3 linked regions of the Diceros bicornis minor genome follow. The protein of the gene in region 3 purifies or fractionates together with the protein of the main gene of each other region. This does not show direct contact. Links are inferred from orthologs where the notes say so. Each region holds a gene or a part of one and is shown on either strand. Other genes may lie near its edges.

Evidence for each region.
Region 1: the proteins of DUSP9 (region 3) and PGRMC1 purify together in Homo sapiens (affinity purification with mass spectrometry; 3 studies listed by BioGRID). This does not show direct contact. The link is inferred for Diceros bicornis minor from reciprocal best matches to the Homo sapiens genes DUSP9 and PGRMC1.
Region 2: the proteins of DUSP9 (region 3) and MAPK11 purify together in Homo sapiens (affinity purification with mass spectrometry; 4 studies listed by BioGRID and IntAct, with this or other methods). This does not show direct contact. The link is inferred for Diceros bicornis minor from reciprocal best matches to the Homo sapiens genes DUSP9 and MAPK11.

The regions. Positions count from the first base shown.
Region 1 is NC_080781.1:109,852,006-109,855,747, forward strand, and holds the start of PGRMC1 (membrane-associated progesterone receptor component 1), read left to right. Parts: upstream 1-1,351; 5' UTR 1,352-1,425; coding exon 1,426-1,753; intron 1,754-3,742. UniProt on the Homo sapiens protein: Component of a progesterone-binding protein complex. Binds progesterone. Has many reported cellular functions (heme homeostasis, interaction with CYPs). Required for the maintenance of uterine histoarchitecture and normal female reproductive lifespan.
Region 2 is NC_080764.1:541,840-545,581, forward strand, and holds the start of MAPK11 (mitogen-activated protein kinase 11), read left to right. Parts: upstream 1-1,215; 5' UTR 1,216-1,514; coding exon 1,515-1,690; intron 1,691-2,107; coding exon 2,108-2,237; intron 2,238-2,321; coding exon 2,322-2,380; intron 2,381-2,461; coding exon 2,462-2,573; intron 2,574-2,663; coding exon 2,664-2,693; intron 2,694-2,780; coding exon 2,781-2,828; intron 2,829-2,908; coding exon 2,909-3,023; intron 3,024-3,382; coding exon 3,383-3,454; intron 3,455-3,695; coding exon 3,696-3,742. UniProt on the Homo sapiens protein: Serine/threonine kinase which acts as an essential component of the MAP kinase signal transduction pathway.
Region 3 is NC_080781.1:137,718,014-137,721,755, reverse strand, and holds the start of DUSP9 (dual specificity protein phosphatase 9), read right to left. Parts: upstream 2,988-3,742; 5' UTR 2,875-2,987; intron 1-2,874. UniProt on the Homo sapiens protein: Inactivates MAP kinases. Has a specificity for the ERK family.

The DNA of each region.
Region 1 (3,742 bases), about 28 Mb from region 3:
TCATACGCACTTTTAAATGATTTAAGAAGATGGGGTTGGGGGCAGGGATGGAAGCAGTTTGTGCCAGAAATTTTTAGAATTCTGAAGTAAGAAGCCAATTCTCTCGAGTCTCCTGCATGTTGGGAGGGGGAGTATATTATGCGCAAGCGAACAGAACTCTTGATGGAAAAGTACTGCTCTGGGCTGCAGATGTGTGCATGGCTTGGTTTTAATTATTTTTTCTCCTTCTCTCTGTCCTTGCTTCCGCTCCCCTCCCTTGCCACAATAAAGAGGGCGGCCAGATTAGGACTCTAAAGGGTATAGACAGCCGTTCCTCGGTCAGCACATCAAAGCCCAGATGAAATACCTAGGAGAGGAAAGGAGCAAATCTAGGATCCTTCCAAACTCCTGCCTTCGTCTGGGCTCTGGCACAGGGTTATTGTGACTGCCAAGGGTAGCTCGATAGACTTCAAATAGAAGAATGCTGCCAAAGAAACTTTGGTTATTATTCTGAGGCAAAAAAAAAAAAAAAAAAAGCACAGCAGAACGTTGCTTGCTGATGCCTTGGGACTGAGCAAATCAGTGATTGCAAAAGGGTTTAGTTTTCCGAGTATGAACCCAAAGTAAATCGGGCGATCCGATCTGTTTCCCCAGATATGGGGAGGGTTGTCAGACGGGGGCCTGTGCACTGACTGTAGCTATCCCGGGAGTATCTGCCCCACAGTATCTGGGGATTAGAGAAGGGTGGTCAAGGAGAGCGAATGGGGGTTTCCAAGGTGAAAATGGGTAGTCTGGGTCTCTAAGGTGGAAAAAGGAGCTCGAGGAGTGAGTTTCCTGTCTCCTAAGACAGCCTCGTGGTCCCGAAGGATGGCCAGGAAAAGAGGAGGCTTCGGAATGGAAGGCGGGGGAGAAGTCTGAAGAGAAATGGAGTCGGTGTTTGGCGCGCATCAGGTGGCGGAGGGGGCCTCAGACAGTGCCCGGCAAAGCCAAGGCTCTCGGAGCGGGTCGGTGTGCGGGGAGCAAGCGCGGGTGAGGAGGAAGGCCGCGCGCTGCGTTGCTGTTAGCCAAAGGATGGCGTGAGCATGGCGTGAGGTGGGGGCGGGGGCCTCGCAGGTAGAGCTGAGGAGCTGACTCCGCTCTCGCGGCGGCGGCGGAGGCGGGACCCGGGGGGGGGGGGAGGGGAGCCACGATCCCGAAGCAAGTTGGGGGGCCTGAGGTGGGCGAGGCGGGACTGAGCACCGCCGGGCGCATGGGCGGCTTCAGAGGAGGCGGGGCTGGGAGGCCCCGCCCACTTAGGCCCCGCCTCTGTCCCGCCTGGCCCCGCCTCCGCCCCTGGCTAGTCCCTTGTCCGCCGAGCCCTGCGCGCCACTAGCTCGCTGAGAGGGAGGAGAAAGCAGTTAGTTCCGGAGCCCTCCCGAGCGCGGCCCAACCTTTGCTTCAGAGATCATGGCTGCCGAGGATGTGGCGGCGACAGGCGCCGACCCGAGCGAGCTGGAGGGCGGCGGGTTGCTGCACGAGATTTTCACATCGCCGCTCAACCTGCTGCTGCTCGGCCTCTGCATCTTTCTGCTCTACAAGATAGTGCGCGGGGACCAGCCAGCGGCCGGTGGCGACAGCGACGACGACGAGCCGCCCCCTCTGCCCCGCCTTAAGCGGCGCGATTTCACCCCTGCGGAGCTGCGGCGCTTCGACGGCGTCCAGGACCCGCGCATACTCATGGCCATCAACGGCAAGGTGTTCGACGTGACCAAAGGCCGCAAGTTCTACGGGCCCGGTAAGGCGGCCGGCCAGCGGGGCGCCGAGACAAAAGAGGGGGCGCCCGCGCGGGGCTGGATCTGGGAGAGGCGAGGGGGGATCGGGGCGCCCCCGAGGGGAAGAATGGCGGCGAGCCAGGGAGGGCGGGCAGGCGGCGAGCCAGGCGGTCGTGGCAGGGCGGCTCCCCGGGTGGGCAAGGGGCACAGGGCGCTCTAGAAGGGCTGCGGGCCAGTGGGGAACGCAGATTCCCGGCCCGCGCCGCCAGCGCCGGGATGGGGGGTGGTGGAAGAGGGCTGAAGCGCTTAAGCCGCGGGTGGGTGGGTGAGATCGCTAGGCTGGAAGCGGGGTGGGCACAGCAGAGCACAGTATTATGGGAGTTTCGAAGGTATCGGGTTTGGGGGTTCCTGGAAGGAGGAGGAGGTGGTATCGGGCTGGAGAAAGGAAATGAAGGTGTCTCGAGGGAGGGCAGGAGGAGGCAGGGCCAGCCTTGGAGAAGACGAGAAGGCCGATGACGCCAAGAGTAGCCATGGTGGAATGTGAGGGTGTGGGAGAAAGAAAGCAGAGTTGGGATTAGCAGCAGGTAGAAGCATTTTGCGTGGTGGTGAGTGAGGGATGTATGTGTGCGTATTCGGTGTATGTGGCTTGTCAGGCGTGTGTGTGTGTGTGCGTGCGCGCGCGTGCGCTTGGAATGTGGCATGTGTCAGGTATGTGTGTGGCATGTGTTTGGTATGTGTGTGTGCGTGCTGTGTGTGCCAGACGGGGAAAAGCTGGAAGGTGAACAGGGGAGGTTCCATGAGGGGAAGGGAGCTTATTGAGGGAGGAATGAAGGCTGAATGTAGCGGACAATGGGAATGTGACAAGATGAGAAGGTAATACGTATTTTAGTCTATAGCAGGAGAGAAAGGACTAGAAGGCAAAAAAAAAAATTAAAAATGGAGGGAGGGATAAGTGGGAGGATCCTGAGAAACAAAAGGGGTAGGGCTATGGAGGCTGCTGGGTGTGGGGATTTCAGGAAAAGCCAACCAGAGGGGAAATGAGGGGTGGATGACTGCTGAGCTGTTGGAGGGGGCAGGCTTGAAGTGGCCTGGGAGATGAGGCTTTTCCAAGCCTGGTTGCAGATCAGAATCACCTGATGCGCTTAAGGAAAAATACAGATTCCAGGCCTAATCACCATAACCAGGGAAGAGTCTCTGTGGGGGAGGTCCAGGAATATGCATTTTAACAGGCTCCTCCAGGCGAATTTGAGAAGCGGCCAGGTTTGGAAAGTCCTGCTTTCTAGAATATTTGGAGAGGAGGAGGAAGAGATTTTAGCTTCTCCAATATGGACTCCTCTAAAACAGGGAGCTCAGGGAGTGTGTCCACATCGATGGTGCCCTCTCCCCGCTGGTCTGGAGAGAGGGACGAGTATATAGAAGGCAGCAATCTGGTCATCCTCACTCCTACTTTGTTTTGCTCTCCCAGTCCAACTAATCAAAATCAGATATGTGAAGGTTCTTAAGGAACTCTCCCACTTAGTAGTTTTTCCTTGTGGACGATTTAGAAGACCTACTTTCTGTAGGCATGTAACTGTCAAAATAATTTGAAAACCACACCTATATTATTTGTCACTTATAGTGGCACACCTAGAGGCATTATCAATAAACATATTCATGTAAATACCTGTTATTAGTGAGCTACACCATAAAGTAGTCAAAACATGTGCATGGGCCACCATCATATGATTGTAGTTTGCAGAGTCATTGAGAGGAATGTAAGCCTGTGCACAGAGCACAAAACTAGGGGTCAGGCAACCTGGATTCTAGTCTGGTTGGATCACTGACCTGCTGTGTACCTGGTGCAAAGCATTGTTCTCTCTGGGCCTTAACTGTTCCTCTGAAAAATGATAAGGATGGCCCTTTGTGAGATCTCTAAGTCTCTACCCTGCACTGTCATCCAGTGAGCCCATGAATATGTGACATCATATGTAAATGATACTTCATGTTATAAGGGATTCCTAAAAATTATTCAT
Region 2 (3,742 bases), on a different chromosome or scaffold from region 3:
TAGGGCTGAGCAGAGACACCTACCATTTGCCCTACAATCCTTAGGGGGGTCTACACCCCACCCCACCCCACTTTTGCCCCAAACAAGACAGCTCAGATCACAGCCAGGGAGTTAGGCCCTGGGGCCTAGACAGACGACAGACTGGGGGGGGTGCGGGGGAGGCAGATTCGGGGCAGCCTCTGTTTGGGGGAGGGCGCTTGGGCTCAGTGGTTACCGGGAGTCCCGGTTGCAGCTGCAATGTTGACAGTGAGGCTCATCCTGGGAGTGGATGTTGAGAGGTGCTCCCCCCAGAACCCAGTGGGGCTGGCCTCTGTGGGGTCATGGGGGTGGGGAGGCAGGGAGGGCTGGGGGTGGAGTGTTGTCCAGGCTCTGGCAGAAGGTTGAGTGGGATTTCCTGGATCCCCTCCCATGGCCCAGTGCTGGAGCCTGGAGCAGGGGCTTGGGTCCCAGGGGCCTCCGATGTCACACTGTCACTTGCCAGCCATCAGGAACCTCAGGCAGGCCTCCATCTTCATCTCTAAGACCTCAAAGGCAGGAAGAGAGTCAGAGACAATGTGTGAGTGGCCCTCCGGGGGATCTGACAGAGCCCCTGCTGGAATTGCCTCCGGCCCAGGATAACCTTCTGGGAGTTCCCAGGGAGTGTCACCCTCCCCAAAGGTGGCCTGAGTCTCTAGTGCCCTTACCTCAGCATGGCCCCTATGCTAGTGATGACCCCTGCTGGGCTCTCTCGCTCCTCAGATGAGGCTGGCAACCCAGTGCCAATTCCCTGTCGCTGGACTGGGCAGATGCAATTGGGCAAAAGGATCTGCTGCCCCATATGAGGGGCTACTCCCCTACTTCCCAGCCTGGTTGTGGCTTAGGGCTGAGCAGAGACACCTACCATTCCCCCTACGATCCTTGGAGGGGGAATCCAAGGAGTGACTTGGACCTTCCCCAGCAGGTCATAGGCTAGGGGAAGGGGCACAGATGCCCCAGGCTCAGAGCTGGCTTTCCTCCACCACCCTCTGGGCCCGTGAGCATCCCTTGTCCTGCAGGAGCTGCTCCTGGGGGCGGTGTGGGCATGGGGAGGGGCCTGAGGCTCCACTCACTCTTCGGGGAAGGGATGAGCATCAGTGAGGGGGAACAGCCTGTGCAAAGGCATTGCTTTCAGCAGGGCCCCCATCCTGAGGGCAATGGGAGGGTGGGAGGGTAGGGAGTGGCTGGACCATGTGTGTTTGAAGATAATGCCAGTGACTGTTGGGCTCCTGTGAAGAGTAGATAAGTTGGAGGCTGGTGTAGAGGTGGAGGCTCTGCCCCTGGGGAGTGAGGTTGGGCAAGGGGAGATGTTCTGTGGGTCCAGATACCACTCACTGCTGGACATTCCCTGCTGGCCAGTTTCTCACTGTTAGAAACGATGCAGTAAATCCTGTGGCCAGTTTTTCCTCCGTATTTTGAATATTCAGAGGCTTTGGGGGTTCAGGGGCTTTGGAGGCAGCTCTAGAACCCCTCGGGGAGTCTCCTGCACCCACAGGCCCATGGGGGAGGAGGAGGACCGTTTGCTTGGGGACATGCCAGGGGCTGTTTCCCAGACGTGTTATTTCCAGGCTGGCTGGCAGAGACTCCCCCACCCCCGCCTTGTGCTGAGTTGGGGGCGAGAGTCATTGGGAGGAGCAGACAAGAGAAGATCCAGGTCCTGCCCTGGGGCTCCCAGGTGGGGCAGGCTGGGCCCCTGCAGATATGGGAATGCTGGGGGTGAAGGGGTGGAGTGGAGGGTGAGCTGCCTCTTGAGAAGGAGCAGGACCCGAGGGGGCGGTGAGAAGAGGTTTCGTGGGAGTGTTGTTTGGGAGTGTTGTCGTCAGAGCGCCTCCCACGTGCCAGTCACCTTCTTGCCCCTGGGGCCCCGCAGAGGCGCACCTGCTGGTGGCCGGCGGTCCAGCCCCCTCCAAGGAGTCCCTTAGAGCAAAGGCGCAGAGGGAGGAGAGCAGTGGACGAGCAGGGGTGGAGGAGCAGCTGCCGGGAGCGTCTGTGCGTGGACCCCACCCTTGCCCCTCGGCCCTCAGCCCGGACAGGCCTGGGGCCGCGTACCGGCTGGGCCCCTCCACCGGCGCCTCACTCGCCCGCCTTGCAGCTCGGCCTACGACGCGCGGCTGCGCCAGAAGGTGGCGGTGAAGAAGCTGTCGCGGCCTTTCCAGTCGCTGATCCACGCGCGGAGGACTTACCGCGAGCTGCGGCTGCTCAAACACCTGAAGCACGAGAACGTGAGCTGGGGGCTCCCCGTGGGGGATGCACAGCCTGAGGGCCGCTGTGGGCAAGGCCGAGTCCTGACTTCCCTTCCCGCCCAGGTCATCGGGCTACTGGACGTCTTCACGCCGGCCACCTCCATCGAGGACTTCAGCGAAGTGTGAGAGGCCAGAGGATGGGTGGCCCGGGAGTGTGCTCAGGGAGGGGTCGGCGGGCCAGTCCTGATCCCTGACCCACCCAGGTACCTGGTGACCACCCTGATGGGCGCCGACCTGAACAACATTGTCAAGTGCCAGGCGCTGAGCGACGAGCATGTCCAGTTCCTTGTCTACCAGCTGCTGCGCGGGCTGAAGGTGGGCTTGGGGGGGGGGGGGCGTGGGAGGTGCGGGGGGCACGGGGGCACGGCAGCACGGGAACCTGACGCTGCGCCTTCCCCCTCGCAGTACATCCACTCGGCAGGGATCATCCACCGGGTAGGTGTGGCCGAGGGGTGAGGGGCCGGTTCCCTGCAGGCCTGGCTGCAGGACTCCTCCTGCGCTCACGCCCTGCCTGCCCTGCAGGACCTGAAGCCCAGCAACGTGGCGGTGAATGAGGACTGCGAGCTTAGGGTGAGCAGTGGGGCGCACTGGGCAGTGGGGAGGGGTATGCGGGGAGGGGCATGCGCTGACAACCCTGGTGGCCGCTCTAGATCCTGGACTTTGGACTAGCGCGCCAGGCTGACGAGGAGATGACTGGCTACGTGGCCACACGCTGGTACCGCGCACCTGAGATCATGCTCAACTGGATGCACTACAACCAGACAGGTGATGTCAACCCGCATGGGAGCAGCCACGTGGGACCGGGGTGGGTAGGCAGAGCTCACACCAGGGCCTGTGGAGGGCGAGTGGGGGTGAGGCCAAAAGCCAAGGACTTTGGAGGTGTGTGTCCTGTCTTGGGGGACAGGAAAGGTCTGGGACCAGCATTCAAAAACAGACCTTTGGAGGGGCCGAGCATGTTGGGTCATGGGCTAACCCCTCTGCCTGCCCAGGGCTGTGTGGAGGAGGAAGGGCCTGCTGTCTTTGGGCCTGGGTGTGACTGAGAGGCCACTGGGCTGGCACAGGCCAAGCAGCCCACTAGCTCTCTGAGGAGGAACTGGGGACTGATGGAGACCCTCCCTCAACAGTGGACATCTGGTCTGTGGGCTGCATCATGGCCGAGCTGCTCCAGGGAAAGGCCCTCTTCCCAGGAAACGACTGTATCCTTGGCCCAAGTTGGGAAGGAACGTTGAACCAGGGGCCCCTCTGTGGGGTAGGGTCGAGGGAGGGGGGCTCTGGCCCTTTCTGGCCAGTCTTGCCTCGTCTGCCCCACTGCGTGCCACGTTGGGCTCACTGTCCCCAGCTGTAGGAGAGCAGGATCTGGGCAGTGCCCTAAGATCTGGCTTCTGGGGCCCGGGAAGGGTCCGTGCCTGGCCAGTGGTCATTTCCTGAGCCGGGCAGACATTGACCAGCTGAAGCGCATCATGGAGGTGGTGGGCACACCAAGC
Region 3 (3,742 bases):
CTCTGGCCACAGACCACCATGTCCTAGCATCCAGGGGCCTCAGGCAGCTGGGCTGTGTCCCCCTGCTCTCAGCCCAGGCCTCCCTCCTCTTCAGCCTGTCCAGATTCTGCTCCTTCTTCAGGCCCTCCCTAAACACCCTCCTCCGGGGTGGCCTTCTGTTTCCTGAGCCAGCATGTAGCCTTTCTCCTCTCTGCTCCAGACCTCAGTGCCCTCAGGCTGCAATGCCCAAGAGCTGCAGATTGGGAGGCTGGGGCTGGAGCAGGGCCCACTTCTCCCTGTCTCGCTGCTCCAGGGCAAGGACTCTTGTCTTCTGTCATCTCCTTTCCCACACATCCTAGTTCCCAGAGGCAGAGGTGGGCTGCCACCTGGCCATGAGTCCCAAGCCTGGGGGCTCCCTCCAGGCCCGCTGCAGCTGTGGGCGGGACCCTGGGGTGGGCAGGGGTTGAAGGCACCAAGGGACTCTGCAATGTGCCAGCCTGGCCGCCTTGTGGGTAGTGGGGGTGGCAACGCCAGACAGGGAGATGGAGAGATACATGCCCCTACCTTCCTTGTCATGGGGCTCAGTGTGGTTGGAGAAAGAAAAGGTCGCCAACCCCGAGGGAGGTAGGAGCTCCTGAGGTTCGGAGGCATGCTTTCTGGAACGGGCTCCCTGGAGGAGGTGATGGGAGCCAGGCTGGGAAGATGGGGATGGGGAGGGAGGCAACTTCTGCACTGGTGAAGGGAGAGGAAGCTAGGCTCCAAGAACCCCCTCAGGGTGGGATTGTGCAGGCACCTGCGTCTCCCAACGCCTGAAGAGTGGCTCCCTTGCACCTTGCTCCAGACCCCTGCTGGCAAGCCTCTCCCAGCGGGAGAAAGCGCTCAGGAGGGGAGTGCTCAATGCATTGGGCGGCAGCAGCGCCCGCTGCGCCAGCAGCAGGACAAACTGGAACCTGTTGCCACCTCCGCACTGCAGAGCTGAGCGTAGCCAAGCCCCCCCTCTCTCGACCCTCGACCCTCGCCGGGGCGCCAGGTACTCAGGCCCCCTGCAGCGTCTGCTCTGGGCCCCGCCCCGCCCCACGCTGCTCCCAGGGCAGGCTGGGCAGGGGGAGGCAGCGCTGTGTGCCAGGGCCTCGCCAGACCCACTCGCAGGGTGGGCGCTGTGCCCGCCGCCCCAGCCCCCTATGGGCGCCTCCAGCCTCCGCCGGCCCGGTCAATGCTCCTTGTAGGCCTCGGGGACGCCTGCTGCCCGTAGGCCCCACGCATGCCGCGTGCGCCCTCTGGTCCCCGGAGCCTCCAGAGAGCGGCACCCCACCTTCCCCTCCATCCCCTCACCCCGGAATGCACGGTTCCCGCCAGGCTGATTGGCAGGATTTCGGCTGTCGCGGCCCGGTCACATGGCCAGGAACACAACTGCCAGCCACAGCGTTCCTGCCAATCCAGTGCCTTTTCCACCAAATCCACTTTCTGTTGGCGATGGCTTTCTGCTTTTCCTGGTCAGTCTCCTCGCGGAACTGGGAGTTCCTCCAAGGCAGGAGCTGGGGTATGCCCGGCCCCAAGCTGGTCCTAGCCCCCAGTGCTGGGCCCAGCACACGCCCCAGCGCTCACGGAAGAAATGCTCGTTAACAAAGAAGGCAAGAATGAATGAAACCAATTGTTGCATGAGGGAACCCAGGAGGGTGCTGCTCTTGCTCTTTTTCTCAGCGGGCCACACACTAGCCCCCTCAGACACGCACAAGCACACGTGCACACACAGCCTTCCCCCCAGCACAGTCCCAGACAGGCACACACACTGCACCCAGACTCCTGCCCTCATGGAATCCACGACCTACTATGCGCTGGCTGGGCAACTGGCACCCCTTTGATCCCAGCTGGGCCGCCTGCATCTCAATGCTTGCTTCTCCCTTCCTCCTCCCCGCCCCCCTCCCCACGCCCTGACATCTAAGTAGGGTACCTTGAGCCCCAAGTGCCTTCTTTATCTCTTAGGGAAGAGGGCAAGCCAGTCACTGAAGAGACTCAAGGTCTGTTTAGGGAGGCACCTCGGGGGCCTCAGGAGGGCCAGCGGCTGCCCAAAGCAAGCCAGAGGTGCCTGAGAGCCACCAAATGCTGCAGCATCTATACCCGGCGGGCCAGGTGTTGAGGGTGGTGGTGGAAGGGAGTCAGGGCTGTGCAGAGGGGTGTTGAGGGCTATTTGCAATGGGGGCGGGGCAGGGTGCTAGAAGTGTGAATCCAGCAGGTGTGCAGACATGTTGGGGTGTATGCCTGGGGAGTGGGCCTGGCTATGGAGAGTGGGAAGTGTCGGCCGCTGGGGTGTGGGTTAGAATTGGGGCTTTGCTGGGGGGTGGGTGGATTTCGTGTCTCTGGGCTGGGAACGTGGGTGGGGTGTCTGTAATGAGCATATGGGGAGTTGGAGACGGTGGGGGCACGGTGAGGGAGCTATGTTAGTGCAGATATCGCAGGGATGTGTCGGGAGTGTGTGCGTGTGCCTGAGTGTGTACTGGGGCGTGGCAGGGTCTGGGATGGGTTCCCGCCTGAGTTGGGGACAGCGGTGGGTGGTGGGTTAGGGGCTGCTGGTGTGTGCACTGCACTGCAGGGACCCGGGTCCACGGTGCATGATTTGTGCGCGCGCATGTAAGTGGCAGGGGGTGTGCATGGCGCAGGACACGGGAGGTGCACGGGTGGGATGCGGGGGTGTGTGGTGGCAGGACCGAGTGGGCCTCGCAAGGGCGTGTGCGTAGGTCTCGCTGAGGCGTGTGCGTCGGCCCTGTGGGGTGCGCGTCGGCAAGACTTTGGGGGTACAGGGTGGAGGAGTGCACGTCGGTGGCGCTGCCAGGCCGAATGGGGGTGGGGGGGGTGGGGGGTTGGGGGGGGTGCCTGGGCGCCGCGTGCTCCGCTCACCTCCGGTCCGCTCGGCTTCCTGCGCCAGCTCCGCGCGTCGCGGTCGGGAAGTTTCCGAATCCCGGGCGGCGGGAAGCGCCACAGCCGCTGCCGCGGAGCGCCGCCGGAGCCTCGGGCGGCGGCCTCGCCTGAAGCCGAGCGGCCGCCGCCGCCGCTGCGGAGGGAAACTCCAAATCCCGCCTCCGCCGCCGCCTCCTCCCCTCCCGTCGCCGTCTTCTCCGCCCCCTGCCCAGGAGGGGCAATGTCGCTGGCGGCGTGCAGGGAGGGAGCGGGGAGGGGCCGCTGCCTGCCCGGCGTCTCCTTCCACCTCCCCCGGCCCCGCTTGCCTTCCTCCCACCTGCAAGCGTCCGCCCGCTCCGCCCGCCGTGGTTCCTCTCTGGGATGCGCCCTGCAGCCCCCATCCCCCCAAAGCCCTGCTGCGTGGGGTCCCCGAGCTTGGGGCTCAGGAGCGGGGCGAGGGGCGCTGACCTAGGCTGGACCTGGACTGGGGGAGGGTCGCAGCAAAGAGTCTGCTTCCAGCAAGAGAAGCGAAGGGGCCCATCGAGGACCGGGCACAGCTTGGCCCCCAGGGCCATCTCCTGCTGCCATAGGGGAGAGGGTATAAGGTCCAGCTGACAGCACTGCAAGTGACCTCCCCAAGCCCCAGGTCCCCCTGCACTGTCTTCTCCCATTCTCATGTATCAGATTCTGGTATTTGAGCCTCAGTGCCTGGAAGGGGTGGAGCCAGGGCGGCGGGGGAGGGGCTGGGAGGGGTGTTCTCGGCAGGGCCATTTTGCTTTCCTCTGCACCAAAGGCCGCAAGCATCCCCATCAGGCACATCATTTTCTCCTTACACCAGTCTGAGAGTCAGAGGAGACTGTTCCCATGC